Saccharomyces cerevisiae S288C: one gene and its partner. The gene in region 1 interacts genetically with each later gene. Each region holds a gene or a part of one and is shown on either strand. Other genes may lie near its edges. The genes, in order: PYK2 and ATG2.

Region 1 (4,187 bases):
GATCTACCCGATCATGTGCGCGCTGGGCGAAATGGTGTGCTTTTTGCCCGGTGATGGTTCTGACAGTGCCGGGTCGACGGCCAATCTGGTCACTAGGTACGTTGACCCTTCGTTGGGCTTCGCCACTGGGTGGAATTACTTCTACTGCTACGTCATTTTAGTGGCCGCCGAGTGTACGGCGGCATCCGGTGTGGTCGAATACTGGACCACCGCGGTTCCCAAGGGCGTTTGGATCACGATCTTTCTATGCGTGGTTGTTATACTAAACTTTTCCGCGGTCAAAGTGTACGGCGAATCCGAGTTTTGGTTCGCGTCTATCAAGATATTATGCATTGTGGGACTGATCATTCTGTCCTTTATTTTGTTTTGGGGTGGTGGCCCCAACCATGACCGTCTTGGCTTCAGATACTGGCAACATCCGGGCGCTTTTGCGCATCACCTCACGGGCGGATCGCTGGGTAACTTCACAGATATCTACACTGGGATTATCAAGGGCGCCTTCGCCTTCATTCTTGGTCCGGAACTGGTGTGCATGACTTCCGCGGAATGCGCGGACCAGCGTAGAAATATCGCTAAGGCTTCGCGCCGCTTTGTATGGAGACTGATCTTCTTCTACGTTCTGGGGACGCTGGCCATCTCCGTTATTGTTCCATACAATGACCCAACATTGGTAAATGCGCTGGCGCAGGGCAAACCGGGAGCCGGCTCGTCACCCTTTGTGATCGGAATTCAAAACGCCGGGATTAAGGTTCTTCCCCACATTATCAATGGGTGTATCTTGACCAGCGCGTGGTCTGCCGCCAATGCGTTTATGTTTGCGAGCACGAGATCACTGTTGACCATGGCGCAAACGGGACAGGCACCCAAATGTTTGGGCAGAATCAACAAATGGGGTGTTCCATACGTGGCTGTGGGTGTTTCCTTCTTGTGTTCTTGTTTGGCATATCTGAACGTGTCTTCATCCACGGCAGACGTGTTTAATTGGTTTTCCAATATCAGCACCATTTCCGGGTTTCTGGGCTGGATGTGCGGCTGCATCGCGTACCTGAGATTCCGCAAGGCTATTTTCTACAATGGCCTCTACGACAGATTGCCTTTCAAGACGTGGGGACAGCCTTACACCGTGTGGTTCTCTCTCATTGTTATAGGCATCATCACCATTACCAACGGGTATGCCATTTTCATCCCTAAGTACTGGAGAGTAGCAGATTTCATTGCTGCCTACATCACCCTACCCATCTTCCTGGTTTTGTGGTTCGGCCATAAGCTGTATACTCGGACGTGGAGACAATGGTGGCTCCCTGTGTCCGAGATCGATGTTACTACAGGGTTAGTCGAGATCGAGGAGAAATCAAGAGAAATTGAGGAGATGAGATTACCCCCCACCGGTTTCAAAGACAAGTTCTTGGACGCCTTGTTGTAACGCTTTTATGAACATATTCCGATATCTCTCACGATACTAATATTCGAAAAATCTTTCTCCTTCGCCGCGATGGATGGAAGTAAAAACACATATATAAAAGTATAAAATGAATGCTGGCGTATTCTTACATACAAGAGATTTGTAAAAAGTCAATGAAAAGTTCTCCACACGTGTTTTTCTCTTTTACTTTTTTTTTCTTCCTTTTGGTTTCCTTTTTTCTTTCTCGTCGCTTTTATTTAGCGACGCAGCATAGGAAACAGGGGTAAAGTGTCATAACTTTTTAGAGAAAATGATATATCATTAATATGCACACGTTTATATAAATGGAGAAAGAAAACAAAGAACATAAAACATTTTGAAGCAGAGCGGTGAAACGCAACTATATTTTACTTTCATCCTCTACGTCCATTGTAAGATTACAACAAAAGCACTATCGATGCCAGAGTCCAGATTGCAGAGACTAGCTAATTTGAAAATAGGAACTCCGCAGCAGCTCAGACGCACCTCCATAATAGGTACCATTGGGCCCAAGACAAATAGCTGCGAGGCCATTACTGCTCTGAGAAAAGCTGGTTTGAACATCATTCGATTGAACTTTTCCCATGGCTCCTACGAATTCCATCAATCAGTAATCGAAAATGCTGTGAAATCGGAACAGCAATTCCCTGGCAGGCCGCTCGCCATTGCCCTGGATACCAAGGGTCCCGAGATCAGAACAGGTCGCACGTTAAATGACCAAGATCTTTATATCCCCGTAGACCACCAAATGATCTTTACCACTGACGCAAGTTTTGCAAACACCTCCAATGATAAAATCATGTATATAGACTATGCTAACCTGACAAAAGTTATCGTTCCGGGGAGATTTATATACGTGGACGACGGGATTCTCTCTTTTAAAGTGCTCCAAATCATTGACGAATCTAATTTAAGGGTGCAAGCGGTAAACTCGGGTTATATCGCATCTCATAAAGGTGTTAATCTGCCTAATACCGACGTTGATTTGCCCCCCTTGTCCGCCAAAGACATGAAGGACTTGCAATTCGGAGTCCGCAATGGCATTCACATCGTATTTGCCTCTTTCATAAGAACTTCAGAAGATGTGTTGTCTATCAGAAAAGCGTTGGGTTCTGAAGGGCAAGATATCAAGATTATATCCAAGATAGAAAACCAGCAAGGGTTGGATAATTTTGACGAAATCCTGGAAGTCACGGATGGTGTTATGATAGCGAGAGGCGATTTAGGAATTGAAATCCTGGCACCTGAAGTATTAGCCATTCAAAAAAAGCTGATTGCAAAATGTAATTTGGCGGGCAAACCTGTCATTTGCGCGACTCAGATGCTGGATTCAATGACACACAATCCGAGACCGACAAGGGCTGAAGTATCGGATGTGGGTAACGCTGTGTTGGATGGTGCTGATTGTGTTATGCTTTCTGGAGAAACGGCGAAGGGTGATTATCCGGTGAATGCAGTTAATATTATGGCGGCGACCGCTCTGATTGCTGAAAGTACTATCGCTCATTTGGCTCTTTATGACGATCTCAGAGACGCCACTCCCAAACCTACTTCCACTACGGAAACTGTAGCAGCTGCAGCTACCGCAGCAATCTTGGAGCAAGATGGTAAGGCCATCGTTGTATTATCTACTACAGGGAACACGGCAAGGCTACTGTCGAAGTATAGACCAAGCTGCCCTATCATATTAGTAACAAGACACGCAAGAACGGCAAGAATTGCGCATTTGTATAGAGGTGTTTTCCCATTTCTGTATGAACCGAAACGCCTAGACGACTGGGGTGAGGATGTTCATAGGCGCCTAAAGTTTGGTGTTGAAATGGCGAGGTCTTTCGGAATGGTGGACAACGGTGATACTGTTGTTTCCATTCAAGGATTCAAAGGAGGAGTCGGCCATTCCAATACCTTACGCATTTCTACTGTTGGTCAAGAATTCTAGTAAAAATTAAAGTCCTTATTTTTTTTACTTAATTTTATTTAATTGTCCATTGTGTCAGTTATTTTTTTTTTCTTTGGTAATAATCATGCAGATATTACAGGTAATGTTCGCAAACTGCGTGTTTACTGTATGCTGAAATGTTTTTTTTTTTTTAATTCAAACTTCAAAGTCCATGTCAAGTTTACGCACAGTCTGGTAAGTATGTTTATTTCTGTTTAAAAGTGGAATTATATCATTGAGTAAAATTCTTTCCCACGTTTGGAAGCCTGAATGATCCTGATTTAAAAAGGCGCAGAGATTTAATTCCCTTGATATTAGGTTTGATAAATGAAGAACTAAATGGACTCTATTAGAATCGCAAAGTTTAATCAAATATTTCACGAATAATTTAACATCTTTTTCATGCGGCCCTCCATCACCTAAAGTTTCGGCAACCCATTGTTTCACTAATTGACAAATTTTTTTGAACCGTGTCAGATTTTGGAATTTGATCGGCTGGAATATACTATTTTGGCCCATGAAATGATTTTTCTCGTTCTGTAGGCTCTCTTCTCTCCTTTTTATCTTTTCTTGTAGGTTTCCTAACTTTGTCTGTTGGATTTTTTTCTGAATTCTCAAGTCGTGCCTTACTTCTGCTCGAATTTGGGTTGGTAGTTCATTCATAAACTGTTCTTCCATAGTACTGGGCAAATCATTTACTTCTAATCTGGAAATGGCAAATCCTTTTTTTTTAGAGCTCAATGAGTTTGAAGTCAACCCGGATTCTTTTCTCTTATAATTTCTTTTCTCGAACTCGTTGTTAATGTC
Region 2 (7,211 bases), on another chromosome or scaffold:
GAATGAGTCCAAGGTGGAGATCAGACTGCAGTACAAAGCGGTCGCATCGGGTGTCTTCAAAGACATTCCAAATAACGAACTGGTCATCAGAGTGCAGCCCGATGCCGCTGTGTACCTAAAGTTTAATGCTAAGACCCCTGGTCTGTCAAATGCTACCCAAGTCACAGATCTGAATCTAACTTACGCAAGCAGGTACCAAGACTTTTGGATTCCAGAGGCTTACGAGGTGTTGATAAGAGACGCCCTACTGGGTGACCATTCCAACTTTGTCAGAGATGACGAATTGGATATCAGTTGGGGCATATTCACCCCATTACTGAAGCACATAGAGCGTCCGGACGGTCCAACACCGGAAATTTACCCCTACGGATCAAGAGGTCCAAAGGGATTGAAGGAATATATGCAAAAACACAAGTATGTTATGCCCGAAAAGCACCCTTACGCTTGGCCCGTGACTAAGCCAGAAGATACGAAGGATAATTAGAAAAATGCAAGCACATTCATTTATCGGCTAAGTCACTGAAATTTTTTTTTTCGAGTGATTTTATCTTGCAAGCTCACTCTCTTTGTTCTTTTCTCCTCTATAATGGCATCTTCCCCCCACCAACTCCTCTCTACTTGCGTGTGTATTTGTTTGTATACATGTGTAAATATATATACATAAAAGAATGTCGTCTCATGTATTTTTTAACTTTTAGCCGCGGTCAGTGACATTTTGGCTTTCCCACCATTCCACGTCTGAAAAAAAAAAAAAAAAAAGAGATAAAATATGAATTGAATATATATCAAAAATGTCTGCAAAAATTTTTACGAATCAGTCCGATTGGACTTGTACTTATCATTGATTTGCTCGTTATGCGTCTTATCCACTTGATTAGCTATTCCCTGTAAAGTCTTAGACACTGCCTCAGTGGCCCCAATTAACGGCCGAATAATTGCCACAGGTGCAGCTCTAGCAACATAAACTGCTGCGGCGCTCGGCCCTCCCCGTTTATCATCCTTCATCTGTCCCTTTGCCCTCCATACCGCATCGTACGCAATATGCATATGCTTTTCTAATGAACTATACGCCTCCTTCAAACCCGTGGGCAGGTCGAGGGGCTGATCTGCGTACAGACTCACTATTGTGGGTTCGTTGTGATCTCCCGGTGAAGACATATCGATGACTACTGCCGTGGGCTCATGATCTCTTATCCTGGAATATTTACTACCAACTAACTGATCCTCCTCGAATAAAGTATCCAAGTCTAATACAGCTGCAGTATCACTGTCTGCACCATCAGCGGAGCCAAATTTCGATGCATCGTACACCCTGCCATTGGAACCAACACCACCGAATAGTTCCTCGGTGTTCTCCAATATCGCCTGTGTCCCTGAAGTTAATTTAACTCCCAATTTCACAAAATCTCCCGTTGTCGTTTTCAAGAAGACATTGCCACCCTTTTTCAGACTCCTTCCCAAATGCCCTTCTTGCCTGTATTCTGACATTAGTACTGTGACTAGGGTCTTCACCCCTGACCCAATCGCCATAAACGATCTGACAGGAGCCAGTCCTTCCAAAACGCCAGGCAGCTGCTTTTTGGTAATATCCGGCGTCCAAATGGCTTTCAGTTTATTATTTAATTCATCGAATCCATTTAATCCATACAGGACTACGCTTTTCAAAATAATCTTGGATCCATCAAGGGTAAAAAAATTCATCAATTCAGAAGTTTGGCCCGATCTTAAACCCGCATAATCAACTTTTTTCGGCTTATAATCTAATCTTAACTTAATTGAATTAGTGCTAAATTTTTGAATAAATACAATATCTGGATACTCATCAATTAATTCAAATCTTTTATCTTTGAACCCTAAGAACCTTATTAGAAACTCTAAAGTGTCTTGATCCACGTGAAGGCGTAAAGGCGCAACATTTAATTGCATGACTAATTCCACTGCTTGCAAAAAGTCGATCGGCCGGATAAATTCCAGGTCCAGAAGAAACATCGGAGAACTGTGTGGCCACGGTTCGTGCTTTAGCAAAGTTACAAATTTATTCCAGGTGGACGTGGGAACATTATCGATAATTTCAAATTCGTAAATGGAAACTACACATCGGTTCAAAACATCTGTGGAATTATCAGAGTTAGACTCATCGGGTTCATCTACTCGATAATTCTTCAAATTGACATGTACTTTGTTCAATTGAATCAGGGCTTTGTAATGCTTAGAAGGTCGCAAATTAACTTTAGAGACATCAGAGAAGGAATTCTGAACCCCCTGGATCTCACCATCAAGATTTCTTCTCAAATCTGTGACATTGTTTTTGTTAGCAGATATATAAATAGAGTCAAAAATATTTGCCTCTGATTGGGGTACATTTGATTTCGAACTGCTTGCTTCCGCTTTACTGAGCTCTTTATCCAGTTTTTCAACAGTATTAGCGATAAATTTCCGCGTATATTTCCAATCATACCCATCGAATAGTTTTATAACAACTTTTTCGACATCTATACTACCCCTTATATCCACATCCCTTTCTTGCTCTTTTGAGGCGATTGGTGGAGTATCTTCTTCTTTTGGCTGAGCAGAGTCTAGATAACTCTCATGGGGAAGTAAAATACCACCTGTGGCAGTTCCAGAGGAACTGTCCATTTCATATGAACCTTGAGAGGATAGTTTACTTCTGGCACCATTGTTGAACTCGTGAGTTTTGTCGAGAAAACTGTCTACCAAATGCACTGAGTCGTAATCATTTTGATGATTGTTCTCCCGGATGAAGGCAGAATTGAAAAGATCACAATCGATGTCTTTGAATACATCGATAGGATTTTTCAACTGCGTTCTAAATTTTTCCTCATCAGGAAACGTCTGAGGATATTTTAAATCAATACAAAGCTGACAAAAAGTTTGAAAAGAATCCGCGCATAATGAAAGACCAACTTGTTCTATTTTACAATCCAATAAAAGGGCACCATCGGATTTGTTTATTAAAAAATTCAAAGTATCTATTTTACCGATTGCAGAGAAACCTTGACCAGCATAAAAATTTATCAAACTAGGCCAGTTCTTATCTTTTTGAATTTTGAAATTCTGATAGTCATCTATTAGGAAGAGTGTATTCGCCTTTGAAAGAAGCTTTGCCTGCGGAATAAATGAACTTCCACCAGTTGTTAGATTGTCAAGTACAATGACCATTACACTTTTTAATCTGAAAGGGTGCAGAATTAGAGAGCAGTCCAGACATTTGAGTTCCCAGGGAAATCCTGAAGTCGGTTGTTTTTTACTAAGCTTTTGTGAAACAGGTTCATCTTTTGAACTGGCATTATCCGGGCCGATGTTTTTCTTTAGTATTTCTAACCACCTTGCATAGTAATGTATGCGAATGTTGTTAAAAATGACTTTTAACTTTCCATTCGCCCTTCTATGAACATATAGTACAGGTTCGTTAACTGCTTTATTCAAAACTACTGACATGATTTCTTGTGGCTCTAATAATGACGGTGTCTTTCTTTCTACCTTTAAGTTCTTTGTAAAATATACAATTTGAGAGTCATCCGTAATCGCAAAGAAATTATTTGATAGTAATGCTTCCACAGAACCAAATTGCGGCCCTATAATTTCTGATACTTTTAACTTCATGGAATCTATCTTGAGAGAAAAATTAGCGGATAAACTCTGCTTGTAAACGAACCTGGAAGAATTAAGTACTCTGACACTTCTCTGCAAAAAGGAGCCTCTCTTGCTTTTAGACTTTCCTGTACATTCACTGTTCTTTGAATCCGTGAAAAGTTTTCCAAACGCAGAAATATCTTCGACTAATTGTACTATTCCAGAATATTCTTCGTTAAATATCACTTCTTTGATGATTGCATGGACAGAACTATAAATTAGCGCTTCTTTCAAAGTATCGTCATATGAACCCAGTTGTAGAGGGGATTGCAAGTTCGAGATCGTAATGCTCGACATTGTCAATATTTTCGTGCACCGAGAAGGTAGTTTTTTAAATACGTCTACAAGCTCAATGTACAACTCACGGTTAGAGTCGTAAATGAAGGGTGAAACCTGGAAACATAATAAAAAATATGGAAACTTAAGCGACAACTTCACTGCTTTTGAGGTAAGTTGTACGGTCCTTTTAGTATCCGATGCTATTTGAGGCATCATCCCTTTTGACTTATTCTGATAAAAGGACATACATTTTGAAACAAACTGAAAGATTTTAAAGAAATGCGCAATGCCATCATGACTGATAATAATATCTAGTTCGTCGCCCATATTTAATGCGATGCTTTGAGGGGTTTGTTCTCCAGTGAGCAATGGCTTAGTTTTATGGCTAATTGTCAATGGACTCGAATTAGAATAAAATGAGCCTAAAGAAAATGCCAATGAATTATTTTCCTTTTGCTCTAATTTAAAGCTCTTCAAAATTACTGTGATATCTTGGCCTAAGTTTAAGTATATACATTTGATATCAACAGAAGAAAGAGCTGATGGTTCCTGCTTGTCAGGTGAAGGACTTTGGGAATCCTGGCAAGAAAAGCTTTCATTGGCATCCAAATGTGTAACAATGATATCTATAATATTCTTCAAAGTGGAGTTTTTGATTTCGACAATTTTGTGTATCGCTAAATGAACATCCTGAATATCAATAACAATATTAGACATTCTGAGATCATTGACCGATGATAAACCCTTAAAAGCTATGTTCAAATTATTTATTTCCATTAAAGATTCCTTGCACTTATCATTCTCTTGTTCTTCTTGTGTAACTTGGGGTTCACTGGGGTCTTCATTTGATTGCTCTTCCATGGCGCTCATATAAAGTGAAGTAGCCTCCATTTTTGATAAATAAACGCTTTGTGACAGATCGTCATTATTGAAAGGATGCACAGGAGAGTCGGGTACAGCTTGTTTTTGTATTGAGGAAATGGTGATATTTTCAATGTTTATATGTCGTAAATTTGCGTCTGTAGTAATAAGTTGTATGCTTTCTAGATGAACCTCCACAATGTTATCGGAAGGATCTCTATCATTCACTATGAAACGTATGGTAACGTCCTTTAATGCTATTTTCAATTTCGCTAAGGCTACATTAAGGGCCTTGTTCCGCATATTTTGAAGAGTATAAGAACCATTTGCGGCTGGTTTTGAAGCTTCTATATTAGAGTTGAGATCACTACTACTGTCTGAAGAGCTAATGTCATCTTCTTTGTACCTATTATATGTGGTCAATGGATCACTAAATTGTAACATCGAATTCGTAAGATCTTGGATGCTTTTAACCAAAAAATCTGAGTGAAGTTCCTGTGAGCCACTGGAATATAAAGGTGTCATGATAAATCTTAAACCAGACCCATCGATTTCCACACCGCCAGAAACTGTTAATTTTAACACAAGCTCGTCAACTATGCCTTCGTTTATTTGCACGTTTGGAATGTTGAGATCATCAAGTGACAGATTCACATCATGGAACGAGAAATGTGACTTAGACCCTATAGAAACGTCCAAGTTAGATAAATCTATATTGGAGAACAGCGAAATTTGCTGAAGGACGTAAAGAAGCAGCCGCTTTTGTATATTTTGAGGTAACCAAAATGCCATTGTATCGAAATCAAAAAAAAAAAGGGTTCCTCTTAATTTGCTTTAATCTTTATGCTTTCCTTATTTTAAACGGCAGTAGAAATTTTGTATGAATGGTGAGTTGAAATAAAGTCGCAAAGATTACAATAGAAGCAAAATGGTAGACTCCTACAGAGATGTGATATGATAATAAGGGTGGGGTGTCTGTTCTTTGTTCCTTGCATATTCATTATCGCGATTATTTCCATTCGCCGCACCAAAAAAAGAAAAAATGTCCCCGGACGAGAACGCATATACCAATCAGATACAGAAAAACGTAAAAGACGTCTTCAAATAAATATATTTATATTAACGTTTATCTTTATATATAAAAAGTACAATTCATGATCAATCATCATCCTGGTTATAGTAGGCATGCCTTCTTATCTCGCCCAATCTCTTCCTGGCATTGCTCAAGGATTGTTCTAACTTCAAAATTTCCACTTGCTGTTCCATTTCGGCAGTCTTCAATGTGTGTTCGGATGTGAAGTCCAATGGTTGCTGCTGTTGCGAAGTCGAATGATCATCTTCAATCATACCCATGACGTGGTTACCCAAACTTCTGCATGCATCGGTAACATCTTTGGAACAGTGTTCCAATTTATCTTGGGCCTTCGAGTGGATGGAAGTTTTCACTCTCGATGCTGCTACCAATTGTATTGTGGATGCGGCCACTTCTTTGGAGGCGACGATAAATTGTTCAGGTGATGTGTTTTCATTGTCTTCAGAAGTGATTAACTTACTAGCAGTAGTGATTAAAACATTGGTTGCACCTGCCACAGCCTTTGCCGCGGAGATCAAACCTTCTGTCCATCTGCTGTTTTTCAAGTAGAATTGGTTCAGAGGAATACTTGTCGTGGTGGCAATTTCATTTTGGCACTGAATAGCAGCCTTTACCAAAGCCACAACAGCATCAATAATCATTAATGCCAATGACAACAATGGTTTAGGAACGTCAACACGTAAGTGTTCTGAGGATTTGACAATTTTGTCAGCAGTGGCAACCAATTCAGAATGTGGGTTCGTTTCTTTATTTGATTTGACAGATTGTATGTTCAATAACGGTTCGATAGCCAAAGATAGCTCTTGCAACTTCTCTTGCATGTCCACGTTGGCATTGATGACGATATCAGTTTTCTCCTCATCACCGACCTGGTTAAGATTTTCAGACATCAAATCCTCGAAGAAATATTGGGCCTCTCTGGCACATCTCTTCACCAGGGTCAAAATTTGATCAGACTGTTCTTGAGGTAATGTAGTAACGGCGTACGCCTTTGAATTGGTCACCAGTGTAGCCATCGAAGTACTGAAATCACTAACGCAGTGTATGACCTCTGTTTGGTCGCCGTGTGCAAGGCCGTCTACTATCAAATTATTGAAACTGGTGGCAAACTCAGTGGCGTTTTCAGAAGTACTTTCCAATAAGGACAAAAGGAAAGTGGGTGGAGTCAGCGGACCCGACCAACTCAAAGGAGAATCGAGATTATAGACCGATTCCTGGATGGTGTTGATACCGCTTTCCAATATGGCATCCAGAATAGGGTTCATTTTATCCTGAGTCATTGTTTCTGCTGCTGCTGTCGCCGCTGCACTGTCCGCCTCTGCAT

Evidence for each region.
Region 2: of PYK2 (region 1) and ATG2, changing one suppresses a phenotype caused by changing the other (phenotypic suppression), as found in Saccharomyces cerevisiae (one study listed by BioGRID).

Annotation. Positions count from the first base shown.
Region 1 is NC_001147.6:984,135-988,321, reverse strand, and holds PYK2 (pyruvate kinase PYK2), read left to right. Parts: upstream 1-1,859; coding exon 1,860-3,380; downstream 3,381-4,187. Other genes in the region: proline permease PUT4, read left to right, coding at 1-1,423; REV1 (deoxycytidyl transferase), read right to left, coding at 3,537-4,187. UniProt on the Saccharomyces cerevisiae protein: May be used by cells under conditions in which the level of glycolytic flux is very low.
Region 2 is NC_001146.8:189,699-196,909, reverse strand, and holds ATG2 (Atg2p), read right to left. Parts: upstream 5,587-7,211; coding exon 808-5,586; downstream 1-807. Other genes in the region: ZWF1 (glucose-6-phosphate dehydrogenase), read left to right, coding at 1-484; SLA2 (Sla2p), read right to left, coding at 5,953-7,211. UniProt on the Saccharomyces cerevisiae protein: Lipid transfer protein required for autophagosome completion and peroxisome degradation. Tethers the edge of the isolation membrane (IM) to the endoplasmic reticulum (ER) and mediates direct lipid transfer from ER to IM for IM expansion.